Caenorhabditis elegans: one gene and its partners. The protein of the gene in region 2 purifies or fractionates together with the protein of the main gene of each other region. This does not show direct contact. Each region holds a gene or a part of one and is shown on either strand. Other genes may lie near its edges. The genes, in order: gta-1, alh-1, agxt-1 and tald-1.

Region 1 (5,431 bases), on a different chromosome or scaffold from region 2:
TAATCAAATATATTACATCCCCGAAATGGTCGTAATATTATTAGTTCGCTTTGTGGCTATATATGTCACATATATTCTAGTGGAATTCGGTAACGAAATATTTAATATAAATCTGTTCAACATGAAAAATTGTAGACAATAATATATCTTGGATTTCCTATAAAATCCAATACATTTTTAACATGAATTAATAGTGAAACAGCAAATAAGTATATGTGTTTTTATTGAAAACTACGAAAACTCGATTAAACTTTTGCAACAACGAGAGTTTGAAATTACAGTACTCTTTAAAGGTACACACCTTTTCATAGTTAACATAAAATTTCGTGTCGAGAATATTTGGGGCAGAAATCGCAAAGTTTTGCGAGCTTCATGAGAATAAATTGCTGTTTCACAATTAATTCATGTTTCTAATGTGAAAAATGCATTGGATTTTAAAGGAAAAATGTAATTTGTAATATGATAAAATGTAATATAATTGTCTACAGTAACCTTAAAGGAAAAAAAAATACAAATAAAAACATTAGTGAAGAGAATTGTATATATTTAATACAAGTTGTTCTAATAGTGAGCTTGAAAAAACTTACAATTTTGAATTTAATTTTAAAAAAACTCATTTAAATTATTTCAACTTCTTCCAAAATCATCTAAAAATATTTAGAAGTTAGATACACAATAATTAGCTTAAAAAATAATACGCGTTCGAAAATTTTAAGTTTTTATGTTACAGGAAAATGAAACGCCAATAATCGTGTTGTTATGTAATTTTTCAGGTTTGTCGTCTTGCTCTTCTCGCTCGAGCAAAAGCTACTGTAGCTTCTGGAGGTTCCGTAAATCAACTTCTTCCATTGGAACAGTCCGATTTTGAGTCAGCAGTGCATAAATATATGAGAGCCGCACATTTACTTGTTGAAGAAACACTTGATTAGTCTTAAAAGTTCAAGAAACGAATGTTTTATTTCATGTAAACTTCTATTTCTTTTTCTCTAAAAGTAGTCCATTCGTTCTTGTAGGTCTCAATTTATTATACCTTTTTGTAGTATAAAGCTAAAGAAATGTAACGGTGCTTTGACTTAAAATCGAAAATCTTTTTTTTTATTCCCCGGAGCTTCTAGAACAGATTCAAAAACTAATATTTCTGATTCCTGATTTTTTACTTCCCTATTCTTATGTATTGCATTGATTTAATAAGTACGTTTAGATTACCGGTTAGATTGTATTCTCTTTTTCTCTTTTCTTTCACTTGTCGATATCTCCAGAATCTGAAGAAACAATAAATCGATCACGTGACCCCATCTCTTTGTGTCAGTTGTCCTTCCGATTACACCCTTCGTGCTCTGCGAGCCTTTTTCTTTGCACAACGTGGAGCAAGTTTACACCATTCACAGGCTCAATATAAACGTCTTCCATTGGCTTCCAATTTTTCAGTTTACTTCTTCAAACAATTTTCACTAGAAAACGCATTTATTTCCTTCACTAAAAAACATAAGCTCCTCCCCCTGCCTTTCTCTGCGTCTCGTTTGACGCCTAAAAAGAGAAAACGGGAGAAAAAATTATTCGGTTTTCTCCTGCCACTTCAAATTTTACTCTTCTTTCTCTTTGTTTTTTTCAAATCGATTTTCGAATAATTTGAATAGTTTTTTTCAGAAGGAAGAATGCTTCCCAGACTGGCAAAGTCATCTTTAATCCAACAGGGTAAACCAATTAATATATTTTGGATTCAACTGGGATTTATTTAGGAAATAATTTAACATATAATTTTTGATTTTGAAAAACCTAACCTGCAGCTTTTTAGTTCTTCTAGATACATTCATTTTCAACCCTTTTTACTTGCATCTTTGACCTAAAACACATTGAAAAAGAAACAAACAACACTTTTTTGATTCTCTTATCAGTTTATCAGTATCACAAACATTAACGAAGGCAATTGATTTTTCTCGAGTAAAACCGAATAGGGAAAAGATCAGAAAAACTGAACGATAAAATCGAAGTTTTGGTAAATTGGCAGGTATTTTGATATTCACCACATGTTTCAATTTGGAAGATTAAAAAAACAAAATTTTCTGAAATTTTAAAAAAATACTAAAACACTTCAACACCATGAGAATGTTTCCAAAAAATGCTCTGACTCAATTGAAACGTTTATTTTAGTGCGTGGAGTTTCGGCGATTGCAAATGCCGAGCCATCTGGACCTAGTATTTCAACGAGCATTCCTGGACCAAAGTCAAAGGCGTTGAAACAGGAAATGGATAAAGTTCATGTAAGAATTGAGATATCGAAAGTTAAATGGTTTTTTTAAACATCATGGACCTTAAAATACCTTCAAATTGTGATAACTTATTTTTTATATCTATTCTAAATCTTATACGCTCATTATGTATTGGTTTTAGTTTTTGACAATTATTCAGTGGCGAAATCGCTTGAAATTACTTTTCAAACAAAAACTTTGGCTGAACTTTCTGACAACTTGCTCAACAGAAGCTCAACATTGTCAATTTGATTCTAAATTATTAAGAATTATAAGATAGATAAATTATAATTTTAGATTACAAAACATTATTAGCTATTTAATGGTCACACAATTGCGAAGAATTTCGAGCCATTCAGTTCAATTTTCAAATCAAAAACCAACATCTCAACTCCGTAATTACATGAACATCACATTCTTACCCTTATCACAGAACGAATGAAATTCGTCTCAGAAATATTACACTTTCTCTGGTCAACTGACAACTGACATTCAGGAGTTTTGATTATTTGATTTTAGTTTTTTTAATTTCAAATCTTCAATTTCATTGATAATACAAAAAATAAAATAATATTTCAAGGAAATTTAAATTTTATACATATTGTCAAAAATACTGTAGTTATGAAACATATGAATCATTCCAAATGCAATATGAGATTTCAAAATTTTATAAAAATTAAAAAAATTTTTTTTCAGCAAACTACATCCGTTCGTTTCCATGTCGACTACGAGAAATCATTCGGAAATTACGTTGTAGATGCTGATGGTTAGTTTTTATTTTCAGTTTACACACCAGGATTTAATTTAGGAAATGCACTTCTCGATGTCTATACTCAAATATCATCTCTTCCTTTGGGATACAATCATCCAGATTTGGTTAAGGTCGCTTCGCAGCCACATTTGATTGTGAGTTTTTATAAATTGATTTCAAAATCAATTTTTGAACCTCTTACAATCAATTGGAGCATTCGAACTTAGCCTTCCATGTACGCATGAAAATGTTTTACGCCGCATCCGCATTCAGGCACAAATACAGAAATTAGGCGGTAGGCAGTCAGGCAGGCAGGAGGAAGGCACATAATGACCATATTTTCACATTAACCGTACACCTAGAAACCAGTAAAAAATTAAATATTAAGTGATTTGCCTGTCTGTAATATTTGGATAAAACTAAAGAAAACAAGATACTTACTGAAAAGTTGAGAAATGTATTAGAAAATAAATTTTCAGACATCTCTTGTTTCTCGTCCAGCTCTTGGATCCTTCCCACGTACCGACTTTGCTGATGGAATTTCTCATGCTCTTACATCAATTGCTCCAAAAGGATTGAAGGCAGTTCAAACAATGCTTTGCGGTACATCGGCCAACGAGAATGCAATCAAAACTGCATTTATCTGGTATCAAGCTCAGAGAAGAGGAGGTCTTGGACCAGATGCTCTTCATTTGGAAAGCTGCATGAATCAACAGAAACCAGGAACTCCAAATCTTTCAGTTATGGGATTTGAAGGAGCTTTCCATGGAAGATCTTTGTGCATGTTGTCGGTTACCAGAAGTAAGCCAATTCATAAGGTATTTCAAAGTTTTATTTCGAAACAATTCTAATTAATTATTTTCAGGTTGATATTCCAGCATTTGACTGGCCAATTGCCAAGTTCCCCCGTTATAAGTATCCACTTGACCAGAATGTTGCATACAATAAGAAGCAAGATCAGGAGTGTCTTGCTGACGTTGAAGCGAAGATTTCCGAATGGAAACGTCGTGATAATGATGTAGCTGCAATTATTGTTGAACCAATTCAAGCAGAAGGTGGAGATCATTATGGAAGTCCAGCATTCTTCCAAGGCCTCCGTGATATTACTTCTAAACATGGAATTGTATTCATTGTTGATGAAGTTCAAACTGGAGGTGGAGCAACTGGAGATATCTGGGCTCATGATCACTGGAACTTGAGCTCTCCACCAGATATGGTCACATTCTCAAAGAAACTTTTGACAGGAGGATACTTCTACGGAGAACATCTCCGAGTTAAGGAGGCTTACCGTATTTACAACACATGGATGGGAGATCCGACCAAGCTTCTTCTTTTGGAAAAGGCTGTTGAGGTTATTAAGAGAGATGGATTGATTGAGCAGAGCAGAGAAGTTGGAGCTGAATTCCAAAAGAGACTTGGAGAACTTCAAGCATCGTCTGGAGGAAAGTTGGATCAAGCCAGAGGAAGAGGAACTTTTGCCGCCGTTGACTTCCCATCTGGATCTTTGAGAGACAAATTTGTTGACTTGGTAAGCAGAATTAATAGTGATAAATGTCAAATTCAGCCATCTTACATTTATATATTAAATTTCTTAAACTTCAATTTAATTTTAGGCCATCAGCAACGGACTTCACTGTGGAGGATGTGGAGACCGTTCACTTCGTTTCCGTCCATCACTCGTCTACACCAAAAAACATTTGGATCTGACTTTCGATCTTCTCGACAAGACTTTGAAGGGATTGTAATCATTTTTTCTTTTGTTTTCTCTTTAAAGCTGTATCCATTTTATTTGCTTCGCTGACCATCTAGCTTGTTATTATTTCAAAATATAATTAATAAATTAAATATTCATTTATAATGACACCGGAAATTGATTTTTTATTGTTTCTTCTCGGGAAGTTATACTTCGGATCGATTCCAATTGAATTTATAAATTTTTAGACACGTGTTCCTCCGACTAGCTGTGACATCTTTTCATAGATTATCTCGATTTCTTGCTGAAAACAAAATAATTTGGTATTGGAAAATGAGATAATTCGATTTTCACCTTCGAGGCAAAAATACCACACTGAATTTCGGTATACGATGAAAGAACCTGTACCACGTCAACACAACCCGTTGTCTCCAGTTGACACGCTAAAGTTGTGGCTGCACAAATACTGAATGCAAGTGCTGTATCATCTGAATATTCATCAATTTTGTTATAAATATAATATAATTAAAGTTTAAAGTATTTACAGATCATAGTATGTACGTTTCTACGCACACTACCATTTTTAAACTAGAACCAAAGGGGTTTTTATAAACTCCAAATTTGTGTTACAAAATTTTTTTGAACCAAAAATATTGATAGATATCAAGCTATACTCACCATTAAACAAAATAGAAAGTGATAATGTAGAAGTACTATCTGTTGGTGATGGAACACTTG
Region 2 (5,255 bases):
TGGATTTTGTTCTTTAAAAGTGGGAAGAAGCTTGAAAACTAGAGATATATGAGATTTGAATAAAGGACTAGAAAATGATTTTGTTTTGCTAAATTAACAAAAACTATGAATCCTCAACTACAGTTGGCTCCTCCTAATAGTTCATCATCTTAGAGCTAATGAAGTTCTGGCGTCCAATATCTTTTGGCAGATTTCAAAAAAAAAAACGAACATAGATCTTTCGGATTCTAAGTTTAACTGGAAGAATTAACACATTTGTTCACTTCAAGATTCATCTGGTTTCATTGTTGACAACATGAACCTTCGAAATTGTTGGTTAAAGTTTAACATTAATTTTGTTTACAGCTCCAATAGTCTCTTATGGAAAACAAAATTTAATATTCTATCCTACAGTCCTTTCTTTTCAACTGTTATTTAACATTTATGAATCATGTTCCATTATGACCTAAGACATATTGTGGCCTATACAAATTGTGACCTATGACATATTATCATTACTTTCAAACAATAATCTTCAAGCGACCCGTGCTTCTCATGCTTGTGAAATGCTGAAATGCTTTTTTATTCAACTGTATGACATTTTTCAAACATGTGCAGAGAAACTTGAATGCTTTCATTTTCTCAAAAGATTCCCACGGCTGACGATTTTTTTCTTGAAGCCCGAAGCCTAATTGATATGATAAAAAAAACTTCAGATTTTCGTTACATTCGTCCTTTTTTTCTTGTTACTTCATTAAGCCAAGTGTTGACTTTGTAACTGCTTTCTCTGGAGTAGAGTTTCTAAAGGTTCGTAGTGTCTCGCCACCAAGCGCGCTCTGTTGAGCAAGGGCACCGCGCCAGTTTCGAAGTTTCTTTCTATTTTAAAAACATTTTTAGCTCTTTTTTTCGGATTTTCTCGCAGTTTGAGAATATTTTCCTGAATGTTTATCTTCCGTTTGAATTAAGATCGCGTTTCCTCTCAGAATTAAGTTATATCTGTCAATAAAAACAAATCTCAGCTGAAATGCTTGCACGTTTGTTTATTTTCTGCTGGTTTTAGGCAGGACTAACGATGAATCTTGTTGTTAACCACTCTGTTTATATTTGATAATTCTTAATTTTGTAGTTGATTTCTGCTGAAACTATTCCTGTCTCTGTCGTTCAATCTTTCCAAAGTTTTTCATTTATCATCATTTCCAAAGATCCCATCTCGACATGGAAATATTAAATGGTCAAGGGTTAAATCATGTTGTGCAATACTTGACTATTCTTCAGGACTCCAAAAAATTCTCATTATTTTGTGCTGGTTCTATTCGAGCACGTGCTTCTTCATCTTTTTGTTTTCGAAGATGTTTCGTTGAAGTATATTTGTGTGTGCAGTTCTCTGCATCTCCGCCTTTTTGACTCCTCCTCTGTCACTTTTCAACCATCGCTCAGTGTTCTCTTATCTATTTCGACCCTAACCATCGAGGCTGGCGTGTTTGTCCATTCTTTTCATATCTAATCTTTAGTTTTCTCTATTTTGTTTAGAGTTGAATTTTTGGAAGAAGATTAGTTAATCGATTTTGAATAATTTTGTCAGAAGTCTCTGCAATACTGATATTCACTTTTTGCCACAGTTTTTAGATATACTGATTCGATGTTTCCGAATTACCACTGGAACTAGTTTATTTTCTATTTAATTAAAATTTAAAATGTTCTATGAAGAAACGAGCTGCTGTGAACTCACAATATCTAACCTCATTCACCTGTAAATTTTTATTTTGCGTCCTCTTTCTAATTTCTTTAAAATCTTGCCTTATTCGGGTAAATCCTTTATAATTTTTATTTTCAGAATGCTCCGTTCAGCTCTCCGGGCAACAGTTCAGGCACGAAATGCCTCCGGTGTTCCACCAGGTCTTTCCAACATGAAACCACAATACACCGGCGTAAGTTTCTCAGAACGTTGTTTTAAAAAAATTGCAAAAAAGATAGGAATCACACAGGATAACCTTGAAAATGGAGACAATGTTGAGAGAGACTCTAATTTGAATTTTGAAAGAAAAAATTACGGAGCCCATTGGATCGCCAATTTCTAAAAACGTTGATTTTCAAGTAATTTGTGTTTAAAGAAAAAGAAAACAAAAGTGGAAATTGTGCATCGAATCTTATTGGTTTTTCTCAAAAATCCGTATTTTCCGCGAAATTCAAAGTTACAAGAACATCACATTACGTGCGCTTTGAAACCGCCGTTATCAGAAACTGCAACAGAAACCAAAAAGATGAATTTGAACCTTTTGATCTGTTTTTCTGCTGCAAAAATGTTCTCTTCTCATGTTTTCATTACATTATTTCAACGGAACCACGTGCCCTCAACGTTGTGCTCTGTTGTGTACCTAGTACACAGAGTACGATCAATTTAAAATGATGATAATAAAAAGAAAAAGAAGAGAGCTGATACTATCTCATAGGGAAAACGTGGTCGCCTGAGGTGGAGAACGAAATGAACAATGAACTCGGTCAACAGTGAGATAGGGCAATCAAAACTGAACGATGATCGGATTTGAGAAAATAAACTTAGAGGGCAGAATTAGGACGAAATGTGATACTTCTCCAAATCAGGGATTCAAATTTCAAAAAAGTTTATATCTAAATTTCCAGATCTTCATCAACAATGAATTTGTGCCAGCCAAGTCTGGAAAGACTTTTGAGACTATCAATCCAGCCAACGGAAAAGTTTTGGCTCAAGTCGCAGAAGGAGATAAAACAGATGTCAATATCGCTGTCAAGGTTTAAATCTAAATTCGAATTTTAAAGCAATCTTCAAACTTTTCTAGGCTGCTCAAAATGCATTCCGTATCGGCAGTGAGTGGAGACGAATGGATGCTTCTCAACGTGGAGTTCTTCTGAATAGACTAGCTGATTTAATGGAGAGAGATCGAGTTATTTTGGCATCTTTGGAATCTTTGGATAATGGAAAGCCATATGCAGTTGCTTACAATGCTGATCTGCCACTTTCTATCAAGACTCTTCGGTGAGTTCGAATAGCATAAATTGGAGAATTTTGCTGTAAAAAAATCCCAAAATAGTCTGTAATTAAGAAGAAAACTCAGAAAAAACGAAAAACTTTACTGCCAAATGAGCAAAGAGATCTACAAAAATAATTTCGAATTCTCAATTTTATGAGAGAAAAAAATCGAAAAACAAAAATTTTTGATTGTCCGGACAACCGTAAATCAAAAAAAACTGTTTAGAAAATTAACAGCCAAAAAATGCAATTTTTTGAATCAAATTTTGTTTGTATTGATGAGAAAAATTAAAATTTATTGTAAAAAAAGGAAAAATGGCTAACATTAAAAAATAACTTTATTACAGTTATTACGCCGGATGGGCTGACAAGAATCACGGAAAGACTATTCCAATCGAGGGTGACTACTTCACTTACACTCGTCACGAACCGGTGGGAGTCTGCGGACAGATTATTCCATGGAACTTCCCACTTCTTATGCAAGCTTGGAAACTTGGACCAGCGTTGGCTATGGGAAACACAGTCGTTATGAAGGTCGCCGAACAGACTCCACTTTCAGCCCTTCACGTGGCTGCTCTCACAAAAGAAGCTGGATTCCCAGATGGAGTGGTTAATATCATTCCAGGTCAGTTTTGTAAAAATTGTGAGTTTCTCAAATAAATAAATTCCAGGATACGGACATACTGCCGGACAAGCTATTTCGTCGCACATGGATGTTGACAAAGTCGCTTTTACTGGATCAACTGAAGTTGGAAGACTTGTTATGAAGGCTGCTGCAGAATCGAATGTCAAGAAGGTCACTTTGGAACTCGGAGGAAAATCACCAAACATCATTTTCGCTGACGCTGATCTCAATGATTCCGTTCATCAAGCCAACCACGGACTCTTCTTCAATCAAGGACAGTGCTGTTGTGCCGGATCCAGAACATTTGTCGAAGGAAAGATCTATGATGATTTCGTAGCTCGTTCCAAGGAATTGGCCGAGAAGGCTGTTATCGGAGATCCATTTGATTTGAAAACTACTCAAGGACCACAAGTTGACGGAAAGCAGGTTGAGACTATTTTAAAATATATCGCTGCTGGAAAGAAGGATGGAGCTCAATTGGTGACTGGAGGAGCCAAACACGGAGATCAAGGACACTTTGTGAAGCCAACTATCTTCGCTAATGTTAAGGATCAGATGACTATTGCTCAAGAAGAAATCTTTGGACCTGTTATGACTATCATTAGATTCGACACAATGGAAGAATTAGTTGAAAAGGCTAATAACACTATTTATGGATTGGCTGCTGGAGTTATGACTAAGGATATTGATAAGGCACTTCATATTGCCAACGCAACCAGAGCTGGATCTGTCTGGGTTAATTGTTACGATGTGTTCGATGCTGCTGCTCCATTCGGAGGATTCAAGCAGTCCGGTAAGCTAATTTATTATTAAAATTTCTCCATGCCAAAGTTAAAAAATACTTTTTCTTTTAGGAATCGGTCGCGAACTCGGAGAATATGGTCTTGAGGCATACACTGAAGTAAAGACTGTCACCATCAAGGTTCCACAGAAGAACTCATAAATTTCTTGAATTTTCGCTTTCCCTGTAATTTTTGTTCCTTTTGCTTTTTTTTTTGAAAAATGTTTATTGCTCTTAATATACGTGTTGTATTTATCTATTTTTCACATATATTGAAAAAGAATTCTGAAAGAAATAGACACCTACAGGACGACTCATAAAAGTCTCGACTTCTTTGTGAATTGATTGATTCAGGACAAACGAATTATTACTCTGTACATTAGAGGATCAGTCGTAAAATCTTCAAAAGGCAAAAATTTTACGAGCTTCCGGTAGGTTACGCGAAATTTTAAAAAAAATTTGGAACGCTTCACGAATTTGCGTGTCATCCTTGCGCAGGGGCCATGCTAATCTTCTCTGTATTGTTCCAATTTTAGTATATGTTCTCGGAAGAACGAGACAGCCAGGACCAGTTGTTGCTTATATAGTGGCCACCTGCAAGGCGGCAGACATCTCGTGGGTTCCGCAATTCTCCGTCAAGCAACTCAAAAAGGGCAAGAATCGAACCAAAACTTGATACTTATTTCCGTCAATAACTTTTTAGCCAATGAATCGATATTAATAATTTTTTATGTGTTCGTTCTACATGTCATGTTTTAACAGGTAACAAAGTTTCAGAAAATTTGAAGCATTTCTAACGGAGATAATAGGCAAATTAGACAGCATGTTGCAGCACAATTATTTCACACACCTTAAAGGCGCAC
Region 3 (5,555 bases), on a different chromosome or scaffold from region 2:
GTTTGATTTTTCAATTTTCAAACATTTTTGAATTGCTGGTAGCATTTTTAGAAGGCACTTTTCTCCGTCGGAGGTGTCCAGAATGTCAGGAAATGTGCGAATTGATGTGAGCTTTTGAATTTCAGTTCCGTCTCTGAAAATTTTATGGTATGAACGATTTCCTTTTTTACAAAATGTCGAAAAATCAATTTTGATTTTTTAATTAATAAATCTTACTCTAAATTGATTAGAGCCTGATCCAATGGTGATCTTAGCAATTCCTCAAGATCTGGATCTTCTGCCATTTTGAATAGTTTTTCGAAATCCAACTTCATTACAGGAGGTTCTTTTTCTTCTGTCTCGTCATCTTCAATTTGATCATGCTGGAAAACAAAACGAATTCTATAAAATCTTTTCTGAAGAAATTTTGGTGTGAAAGCCGTTTTAAGTAGGCAACTACTGCAAAAATTTAGTATATTTTCCAATGCCTAATTTCATTACTCATTACTCATTTTCACAATCAAAAACTTAAATTTCTAAATCTCGTTTTTTATCATTACAATTATGCCTTACTTTAATATCAACTATAGATTCTCCATCCATTTCTGTGGCAGCGACCATTGAAATGTTGGAAAATGTGATTAGAATATCTGAAATTTTTCGAAAATCAATTTACAATAAGATGAGACAAAGAGCAACACGAGAGAGAGATAAGATAAACGAAAAAAGAAAAGAGTCAACAGTTTGAACGTCCCGCCTTTTTTTCGCATGATCCATCAAGAGGTAGGGGCAGCTCTTTAGATGCATTTTTGTTCGGCAAACAAATGAAACACATTTTCAAAATGGTTTGCGTTGGGCAAGAAAGTTTGAAAGTGTGGTTAGATATGACGAGTGATCTAGAATGATGCAGAAACAACATGATTCTTCAATAATACAAACTCTTTTTGCTTTGGAATGTAGAGGAGGTGGAGGAGAAGCAGGAAGAGGCAGCTGTGACTCCCGGGCGATGAGCAACTATCTCTATCCTCTCGAAACATTCAAAATGATTGGTGAGACGCAGACATCAAGTCGGTGTGTAAAGATATTCGGCCAAGAGGATCGGGATCGAAGGGCACGCTTGTGATCCAGTGTGAGAAGTTAAAAGCGAGGGAGGAGATGAAGAAATGAAGACGAAAAAGCTCAAAGGATGAAGCTGAAGAAAAAAAAGATAGAGAAAGATAGTGTTCACAGCAAAAACAGACACTGAAACCGGAGAGCTTCAAAGATCACGAGACATCACAAATTTGAGTTGACCTGTAATTGAATCCAACTCGATTTCGAAAAACCTGAGCAGTTTTCTTATTTTTATCAATAAAATGTGCAATTGTTCAAAACATTTCAAAATGTGCAATAAACTCGTGTGATCTGGAAAGTGTTCTTCACGAATCAGTACTTTCCGAATTCTCAAGGTATCTCCAGGCATACAAGTGAATTGGCTGAAAAACTCATTTATAGATTTGGGTAAAGAAAAATGTGAGGAGATTTCAGACGAAGCTAGGCGAAATTCAAGGAATAAGATGTAGAAGCTAAATTTGAAAATGTTCAGAAGTTAATATCTCAAAGCTTTATTATTTTTCCAAAGTTAACACAAACCAATGAACTTTTAAATATTAATTTCTAAATTTATTCATCGTATCAATTTCTGTAGACGTGAAATGCTATTTTCATGGAAATGAAACTAGAAAAAAAATTTATTCCGAAGTCTAAACTTCTCTGGATCTGCTCGTTGTTCGAGGTAAAGTTCAAATTAAACTCTCTTGAAGTTGGTAATCTTTCTCGATTTGTATTGTTTTGAGTAAGATAAGTTGGTAGTCCTTAAATTTTCTAGTTTCATTATTTGGTAGACAATTTTGAAAAATGTTTTAATGTTTTTTTGTAGCCATCTGACTAATTCCACGTCATTGATTAGACCACTTTAGTTCCCATTATAGCTTATTGTTCGCACTTTATTAAAATTTTAACTGATTTTTAAACTGTGTATTTAAAAAATTCCACTAGTTTTTTTCGGATGATCTCCTAAATCTTGAAACGTTATTTTCTAGATTAACGGAAATGTGCCAATGAACTATCCATAAAAATTATGCTCAAACCAAATTGCAAAAAAGTGTTGTTTTCCACTCAATTTCCATAAACTATAAAATAACCACGAGGTTTTCCCCAGTGCACTTTCAAGTGTTTCTTTGAACTCTTCTCTAAAAATTGACCGATCTCTGGGTGTCTTCTCGTTATCATTTATACCATCGACTGGTCATTTATACATTGTGATAAAATAGCCCCTCAGTCAGTCAGTCAGTCAGTGAAAATGAAAGAACAATGTACTTTGAGGAGTCACAGAGATATTTGCCGCCTGCAGGACAACCTCCTCAAGTTTTCTTCTCTACCTCAATATTCTTCCTCAATTGATTTAATTTCGAAGATATGATTTCAACGCGATTTCTAAGACCTTCAGTCTCGATTTTTGGATTTGGAATTAAGGTGAGTTCAATTGGTTCAAAAATAATAGGTTTATTGAGTACACAAATTGGAACCGCCTCTGAGAGTTTATTGTCATCATACATCAACATATGTGTTATCATTGATGAAACTGTTCATTGATACAATCTTTTTAGTTACTGCAATTATTTTATATTTATATGCCATTGTTCATTAAAAAAAGTTTTTGAAGGTTTTTTCCTTAAAAAAAATTATCTAACAGCATGAAAATTATGTCTTTCGAGTTCAAACTCTAAAATCATGTACTTGATTTTTACAGTATTTGGTGAAAAAAAAACCCACTTTGATTTATGGAAAATTTCTAACCATCTAGTATGCCGTTTGGCATTCGACCCTTCAACCCTTCTCCCCTAGACATCAAACCAATTCTTGACCATTTGGACACACCGTTCAATCTCCTCTTGACCAATTGGTTTCTCTGTGTCTCTACTCCATTCTACATGCAAATAGAGCGCATTTCATATTAGTTCCATGTCAGTACTGCGAAATGGAAAACATTTTAGTTAAATTTAAGATCAGTTTTTCGTTAATGTTTTGTTTTTAATAACATTTGTTTTGAGAACCACGTGTTGAACGACCTTTTAGTTATTATATTCTCAAATTATCACTTCCAAATCGATTACCATGTTCTTCGAGTATTTATGTATTTTACTTTTTTTCCAGTCATCAATGTCGTCTCGTGCTCCACCAAAAGCTCTTCTGCAAGATATGGTTGTCCCACCGCGGCAACTTTTTGGACCAGGACCATCGAACATGGCTGATTCGATTGCTGAGACCCAATCTCGCAATTTGTTAGGACACTTGCATCCAGAATTTGTTCAGGTATCTTTTTATGTTTTGTTGGAAAAATAGTAAATCGAAAACTAATTCATAAAGCTTTAATTTCAGATTATGGCAGATGTTCGTCTGGGTCTTCAGTATGTCTTCAAAACCGACAATAAGTATACGTTTGCTGTCAGTGGAACTGGTTAGTGTGCATATATCAACTTTCTCAATATCAAATCTAATATTCAGGTCATTCTGGAATGGAATGCGCGATGGTTAATCTTCTCGAGCCCGGGGACAAATTCCTTGTAGTAGAAATTGGACTTTGGGGACAAAGAGCTGCTGATTTGGCTAATAGGTTTTTAAAATCAATATTCTTGTTACAAATTAAAAATTGATAGAATGGGAATCGAAGTTAAGAAGATTACTGCTCCGCAGGGGCAAGCAGTTCCAGTTGAGGATATCAGAAAGGCAATTGCTGATTACAAACCAAATTTGGTTTTTGTCTGTCAGGGAGATAGTTCAACGGGAGTTGCTCAACCATTGGAAACAATTGGAGATGCTTGCAGAGAGCATGGTGCTCTGTTCCTTGTTGATACGGTTTGTGGTTTTTTTTAACTTTCTCGATCCTCACCATTTATTTATAAATCTTACAATGTTTCAAAAATTAACGGTTTTGTTTCTGAAAAGTTTAAGGTGTTTTTTAATGTAGTAAAATTGAAATTTGCCGAACGAGTCTCAAAATTGAAAATAGATGTTTAATGATCAAAGTTTTCATTTTCAGGTGGCGTCCCTCGGTGGAACTCCATTTGCAGCAGATGATCTGAAAGTTGATTGTGTCTATTCGGCAACCCAGAAAGTTCTCAACGCTCCACCAGGACTTGCGCCTATCTCATTCTCCGATCGAGCCATGTAAGAATAAGAAACAAAACACATATAGTTGCATTCCTCTTCATTTTTAGGGAAAAAATCCGGAACCGAAAACAACGCGTCGCCTCGTTCTACTTTGATGCCATCGAATTGGGCAACTATTGGGGTTGTGATGGAGAATTGAAAAGGTTGGAAAAAACTATGAAATGATGAAATTTATTGAAAAATTTCAGATATCACCACACTGCTCCAATCTCCACTGTATATGCTCTTCGTGCAGCACTTTCTGCAATTGCAAAAGAAGGAATTGATGAATCAATCCAAAGACATAAAGATAATGCTCAAGTGTTGTATGCTACTCTGAAAAAGCATGGATTGGAACCATTTGTAGTGGATGAGAAATTGAGATTGCCATGTTTGACTACTGTGAAAGTACCGGAGGGTGTTGACTGGAAAGATGTTGCTGGAAAAATGATGACAAATGGAACGGAGGTAAATTCGAAAATCCACCAATTTGAAGTTTGAAAACCGTAACTTGTTTTAATTTTAGATTGCTGGAGGACTTGGTGCAACTGTTGGTAAAATCTGGAGAATCGGAACGTTTGGAATTAACTCGAATTCGACAAAAATCGAAAATGTTGTGGAACTTTTGTCGAAATCAATTGGAGAGAAAAGGTCAAAAATTTAATTGATCCGTTTCCTTATCAAATTATTTATATTTTCAGCAAGTAGATCCATCAGTCGTAGATCCATCAATTTGTGATTTCATGCTAATTTATGATTTATTGTAATTTCGTATGCGTTTTGTATGAACATTTTAAATTTATTTAATGTTTTTATGGGTTTTAATTTGAATGAACAAAAAACAAGAATTTCTATTTACATGATAAAAATAGAAGAAGCGAAGGAAAAACAGTCGATGACCGGGGGAATAATCAATTACTGAAAGACCATCAAGAAAGAAGAACAGAAAAATTTCAACTAATCTAAAAGAAATGTAAAGCAAATGAAAGAGGAGCTAACAAATGAAAAAGTGAATGGCGGAATGAAATGAAACAATTTAAGAAATGAATGAGACTACTCGTAATGAATTCGGGTTGACAAGGAAATGATCACCCACTATTTACCTCAAATGTCCCGTGCCTGATGAAAATGAATTTTTGAGTCAAAAATTAAAACAATTAGAAATTAAGCCTTATCGGAAGGCTTTAATTGAATTTCCGAATCTGTTGGTGGACTCGGTTTGAGTGTAGTTTTTGGTGGAGAGGCAAGCAATAACCTTTCGATATTCAGAGCTGGAAGTTCACTGACCATTGTGCATATTATGGCAAAGAAATATGTAATGAGAAGTTGAACAAAACAATGAATGAAGAGTGGAATTTGAGTATTGAAATATATTGGGAAGGGAA
Region 4 (4,563 bases), on a different chromosome or scaffold from region 2:
CTAAAAATTGATTCAGATAGAATTTCGCAAATTTTCATTCAAAAAATCACATTTTCAACATTCCAGGATTTTTTTAGCTAGAAATCGGGGCAATTTAGTGAAAATTTGCCAATTTTGGTTTAAAAAATCAACATTTTCACCCAAAACTTGTAATTGGCATGTTTAAAATTTCAAAATCAGACGATTTCAGTTGAAATCTGCTATTTTTGACTGGAAATATGTTTTTTTTCAAAAATATCCCAGTTTTAGATTATTATGGGTATTTTTTAAAGAAAAATCCAATTAAAAAAATATACATTTTCCATTTTATTTGAAGTTACACTCTGAAAAAAAAATTGTTTTCGAGGTGACGTAGCACCATGCATTTTCAACATTTTCCTCCAAAATTAGTGTCAAAGTATAGAAAATTAGTTGATTTATCTGAAAATGACATTTATTCGACTGAAAATTTGAGAAATTGCTCAAAAAAGGCCAGAAAGTTGACAATTGCCGAAATTAGTCAACTTTCAAGCCATTTCTGGGCATTTTCTCGAAGGCTTCAGCTGAAATTAATGTTATTTTCAAATAAATCGAGTGATTTTTCATATTTTTAAACTAATTTCAAGTTGTAAAAATGTTGGAACAACATGGTGCAACAGACCATTTTCTAGAATTGCCGCTCATTTAAAATACCCAAAAAATGTGTGAAATTTGATCATATTTGACTACAAAAAACGTTTTTTTTAATTTTAATTTTTTAAAAACTGGTAATTTTCCATTCTCGATATTGAACAAACGCCGAGGTTACGGTAATTATAGGATTTTCAGCAAAAATTTGCTTTTAAAATTACAAAAGTTTTTTTTTCGTTATTTCAGTCTTCTATGGCCGATTATTTGTATATTTTTAGGTCTGAAATTTAAATTTCAGTAGACTTTTTTGGCATTTTGACGATTTTCGCTTCAATTTTGACCTAAAAATCGATAATTTCACATTTTTAAATAATTTTTTGCGGAAAACTGTCTGAAAATGTGAGAAATTGTGTTTAAAATAATATTTAAAAAATGAAACAAAAAATTGAAACTAGGTCAAAATATTCGAAAGGAATTTCGCAAATAAATTTCAAAACTCAATAAATTTTCCAATTTTTGAAGATTTTTCCTTTTTTTCGTGTTAAAATTCCCAAAAAAATGTGTGAAATTTGATCATATTTGACTACAAAGAACAATATTTACTTTCTTTTTTTTCTCGAAAACCCCCCGATTCTCTTGCCATTTGCCCCCATAAAACTGCTGACAATTTCCAATTTTTCCTGCAGGTACTCACGCCATACCTCGCCCTGTTCCCGTTCCCATTCTACGCTCTCGTCAAATCAGTTCAACAACTACCATCGGTGATTGCCGAATCGATTCGTCAATGGTTCGAAATGACGACGACACATCATAGTTGAGAGGCTACAAACTACAGACTGCAAACTACACACATTTAGTCATATTCTTGTTTTTTTGTTACTACTTTACTTTATACCTTTTTATCATCATTTTTGTTACTTTTTTTCGAAAACTGTTTTTCTCACTTCCCTACTCCTTTTATCGTCATTTTTTTATGAGTTGTTACTTTTTTTTTGAAATTTTCCCCCTTTTTTGTTATTTTTTGTTCATTGTTCATTGTTTTCACATTGGTTAGTCGAATTATCATTATCATTATATCTATTAAAAATTTGAAATTTTTTTGATACGGTTTTTGTTATCTTTGATGCTATCAATGGGCTGCACTTTCCATTCGATCTCTCTCACGCGATTTTTCCCGTAATTTTCACGATTATTGATTTTTTTTTGACTTTTTCTAGGGAAATCATGTCGGTTTTGGAACAACTCAAAGGAGCATCAGTCGTTGTTGCGGATACTGGAGATTTTAATGGTAAAAATTTTGAACATTAAGAAAAAGTTCGAAAATGTGGTGAATAATTGATTTTTTTTGGCAGTTTTGAAAAAAAATTAAATTATCTGAAAATTCGATTTTTCTAGGAAGACCACTGTTATAATGTAAAAAACAGTAAATTTCTCGATTTTCAGATAGAAATCTGACTTTTTGAACTTTTTAAATTAATTTTTTTAGAGAAAAAAATACATATTTTCAAGAAGTTTCCAAAAAATTCGTTAAAACATTTTAAAAATAAATACTATTAAATTTTATGGAAGTATTGTAAATTTCTGGAATGTGCCATTTAAAAATTAGAATTTTTCAAAAATTCCAAAAAAAGCTGTGAAAAACTTTTTTTGGATAATTCGATGAATTCTCTTTTTTCTAAATTTTTGTAAATACTGGTGAAAAATATTTATTTTGAAAAAAATGTGTTTGCGCCTTTCAAAAGTACAGTACCCAGACGTTCCTTCAATTTCGTTTTTTTTTTCATTTTTCAACGTTTTCTCTCAAGAATTTAGATGAAAAGCGTGAAAAATTAATTTAAAAAATCAGGAAATGGGTTACTGTAAGTCTTAAAGGCGCACACCTTTGTTTTTTTCCTCGATTTTGTGTAAAAAGTCAAAAATCGAAAAATAAAACTCGAATTTTCCAGTTGAAAAAAGTACTTTTTTCAAAAATTGTTCTCAAAAAATCGATTTTTTTCAGCGATCAAGGAATTCCAGCCAACAGATGCAACTACCAACCCATCGCTCATCCTGGCCGCCTCAAAAATGGAGCAATACGCAGCATTAATCGATCAATCAGTTGCCTACGCAAAAGAGCACGCCAGTGGACATCAAGAAGTGCTCCAAGCGGCTATGGATCGACTTTTTGTAGTTTTTGGAAAAGAAATCCTGAAAACTATTCCAGGAAGAGTTTCCACAGAAGTTGATGCTCGTCTTTCATTTGATACTCAAGCATCGATTGATCGGGCTCTTGGACTTATTGCTCAATACGAGAAGGAAGGAATCTCGAAGGATCGGATTCTTATCAAACTTGCTTCAACTTGGGAAGGAATTCGGGCTGCTAAGTACGGCATTGGAGATTTTAGGAAAACTTTTCAGTTAAAAAACTTTTTTTTAAAAATCAAACTTGATGAAATTTTACCCATTTTTGATGATTTGCTTGGTTTAAAACACTACTAGTTTCGAAAAAATCAATTAAAAAACGAATTATACAAGATGAAATTGTTAAAAATTAACACATTTTAAATTAAAAACTAGAAATGCTTCGATTTTTCTTGTAAATCACCTAAAATCTACGGACATACCTTTTCGAAACATACAAAGTCTCGTTTCTATTAGTTTTCTACTGAAAATCTACTCAATTGGACCCAAATTGACATTTTTCAAAAGAGTTTAAGGCATTAATTATAACGGAAATAGTTCAAAATCAGCAAAAAATTAAATTTTCAGATTCCTCGAATCTAAGCACGGAATCCACTGCAACATGACACTGCTCTTCAACTTTGAGCAAGCAGTCGCGTGTGCCGAGTCAGGAGTCACCCTAATCTCGCCATTCGTCGGAAGAATCATGGATTGGTTCGTGAAGAATACCGATCAGAAGGCCTACACTCGAAAAGACGATCCAGGAGTTGTCAGTGTTACTCGAATCTTTAATTATTACAAGAAATACGACTATAAGACACAAGTGATGGCTGCCTCGTTCCGTAATACTGAAGAGATCAAGGGACTTGTTGGATGTGATCTTCTTACTATTTCTCCGGCTCTTCTGAAGCAACTTGCTGCGGAGACGGAACTTGCTCCAGTTGTGCTCTCCACTTCTCATGGTGAGCGGGAGATTTAATCAATTAAAAATTGCAATTTTTAATTATTTTCCAGCCAAGACACTCGACCTGCCGAAAGTGAGCATTGACGAGAAGGCGTTCAGATGGGCTCTCAACGAGGACGCCATGGCCACCGAGAAGCTCGCCGAAGGAATCCGCAACTTTGCCAAAGACGCCAGAACTCTGGAGAAGCTTATCGAGGCAAAGATCTAAATTGTATTGATTGATGTATTTGTCGTGCTTACTAGTTTTCCCCAATTTCATCAGTGTTGTGATTTCCCCTTAAATATTTCGTTACGTATTTTAATGAACCCTTATGTAATTTAAAGAGCACTGTAAAGGCAAGATACACAAAATAGCCGAACTCTTATCGCACTCTGCAAGTTTCTGGACAGTTGTGGCTGTGACACCCGGAATTGAACCCAACTAGAATTGTTCAGTGAAACCATATCGCAGACAACCAGCAAGCTCCAAGACAACGACGAACTAGGGAGACACTTCTCGGGAAAACTGTTCTCAACAATATCCAACAAGACCGATCCAAATGAGTACCACGAAGACTACCAATTATTGAAAAAGATACAAGCTTTGAATAACAAGTTTTTATTATCAACAAAAACAATTTAGAGCTTTCCAAGATCACGGGCACGAGCGCGCTCGATCTTGAGCTTCTTGGCATCAGACTTGGCGGACATGACACCTCCTCCCCAGTGCTTGCGGATCTCCTCGTGACGCTCGCTGAAGTTGTTGTTGACGGTCTCGACGAGCTTGTTCAAGGCAGATTTGTCCTCTCTGAATACAAAGAAATAATTATTTGCTCAAGAAACTATAGAAT

What was found.
Region 1: the proteins of alh-1 (region 2) and gta-1 fractionate together in Caenorhabditis elegans (co-fractionation; one large-scale study listed by BioGRID). This does not show direct contact.
Region 3: the proteins of alh-1 (region 2) and agxt-1 fractionate together in Caenorhabditis elegans (co-fractionation; one large-scale study listed by BioGRID). This does not show direct contact.
Region 4: the proteins of alh-1 (region 2) and tald-1 fractionate together in Caenorhabditis elegans (co-fractionation; one large-scale study listed by BioGRID). This does not show direct contact.

Annotation. Positions count from the first base shown.
Region 1 is NC_003282.8:10,179,013-10,184,443, forward strand, and holds gta-1 (putative 4-aminobutyrate aminotransferase, mitochondrial), read left to right. Parts: upstream 1-1,647; 5' UTR 1,648-1,655; coding exon 1,656-1,695; intron 1,696-2,151; coding exon 2,152-2,261; intron 2,262-2,945; coding exon 2,946-3,015; intron 3,016-3,057; coding exon 3,058-3,155; intron 3,156-3,479; coding exon 3,480-3,818; intron 3,819-3,865; coding exon 3,866-4,528; intron 4,529-4,613; coding exon 4,614-4,745; 3' UTR 4,746-4,927; downstream 4,928-5,431. Other genes in the region: mspn-1 (Mitochondrial sorting homolog), read left to right, coding at 774-929; ptrg-1 (Tyrosine-protein phosphatase 4), read right to left, coding at 4,938-4,997, 5,048-5,181, 5,372-5,431.
Region 2 is NC_003281.10:5,075,952-5,081,206, forward strand, and holds alh-1 (Aldehyde dehydrogenase domain-containing protein), read left to right. Parts: upstream 1-1,813; 5' UTR 1,814-1,814; coding exon 1,815-1,907; intron 1,908-2,619; coding exon 2,620-2,748; exon of another isoform or gene 2,749-2,795; coding exon 2,796-2,992; intron 2,993-3,333; coding exon 3,334-3,611; intron 3,612-3,657; coding exon 3,658-4,404; intron 4,405-4,465; coding exon 4,466-4,554; 3' UTR 4,555-4,710; downstream 4,711-5,255. Other genes in the region: Inactive tau-tubulin kinase ttbk-6, read left to right, coding at 1-17.
Region 3 is NC_003280.10:8,843,887-8,849,441, forward strand, and holds agxt-1 (Alanine--glyoxylate aminotransferase), read left to right. Parts: upstream 1-1,711; 5' UTR 1,712-1,753; intron 1,754-2,343; 5' UTR 2,344-2,436; coding exon 2,437-2,493; intron 2,494-3,174; coding exon 3,175-3,333; intron 3,334-3,399; coding exon 3,400-3,478; intron 3,479-3,525; coding exon 3,526-3,634; intron 3,635-3,677; coding exon 3,678-3,876; intron 3,877-4,060; coding exon 4,061-4,188; intron 4,189-4,238; coding exon 4,239-4,334; intron 4,335-4,379; coding exon 4,380-4,638; intron 4,639-4,696; coding exon 4,697-4,821; intron 4,822-4,871; coding exon 4,872-4,878; 3' UTR 4,879-5,016; downstream 5,017-5,555. Other genes in the region: F46C5.6 (Serine/threonine-protein phosphatase 4 regulatory subunit 4), read right to left, coding at 1-133, 217-362, 553-600; oac-46 (Acyltransferase 3 domain-containing protein), read right to left, coding at 5,335-5,555.
Region 4 is NC_003282.8:4,384,825-4,389,387, forward strand, and holds tald-1 (Transaldolase), read left to right. Parts: upstream 1-1,826; 5' UTR 1,827-1,833; coding exon 1,834-1,897; intron 1,898-2,608; coding exon 2,609-2,972; intron 2,973-3,357; coding exon 3,358-3,731; intron 3,732-3,783; coding exon 3,784-3,941; 3' UTR 3,942-4,056; downstream 4,057-4,563. Other genes in the region: F55F10.1 (Midasin), read left to right, coding at 1,296-1,427; rpl-7A (Large ribosomal subunit protein eL8), read right to left, coding at 4,352-4,520.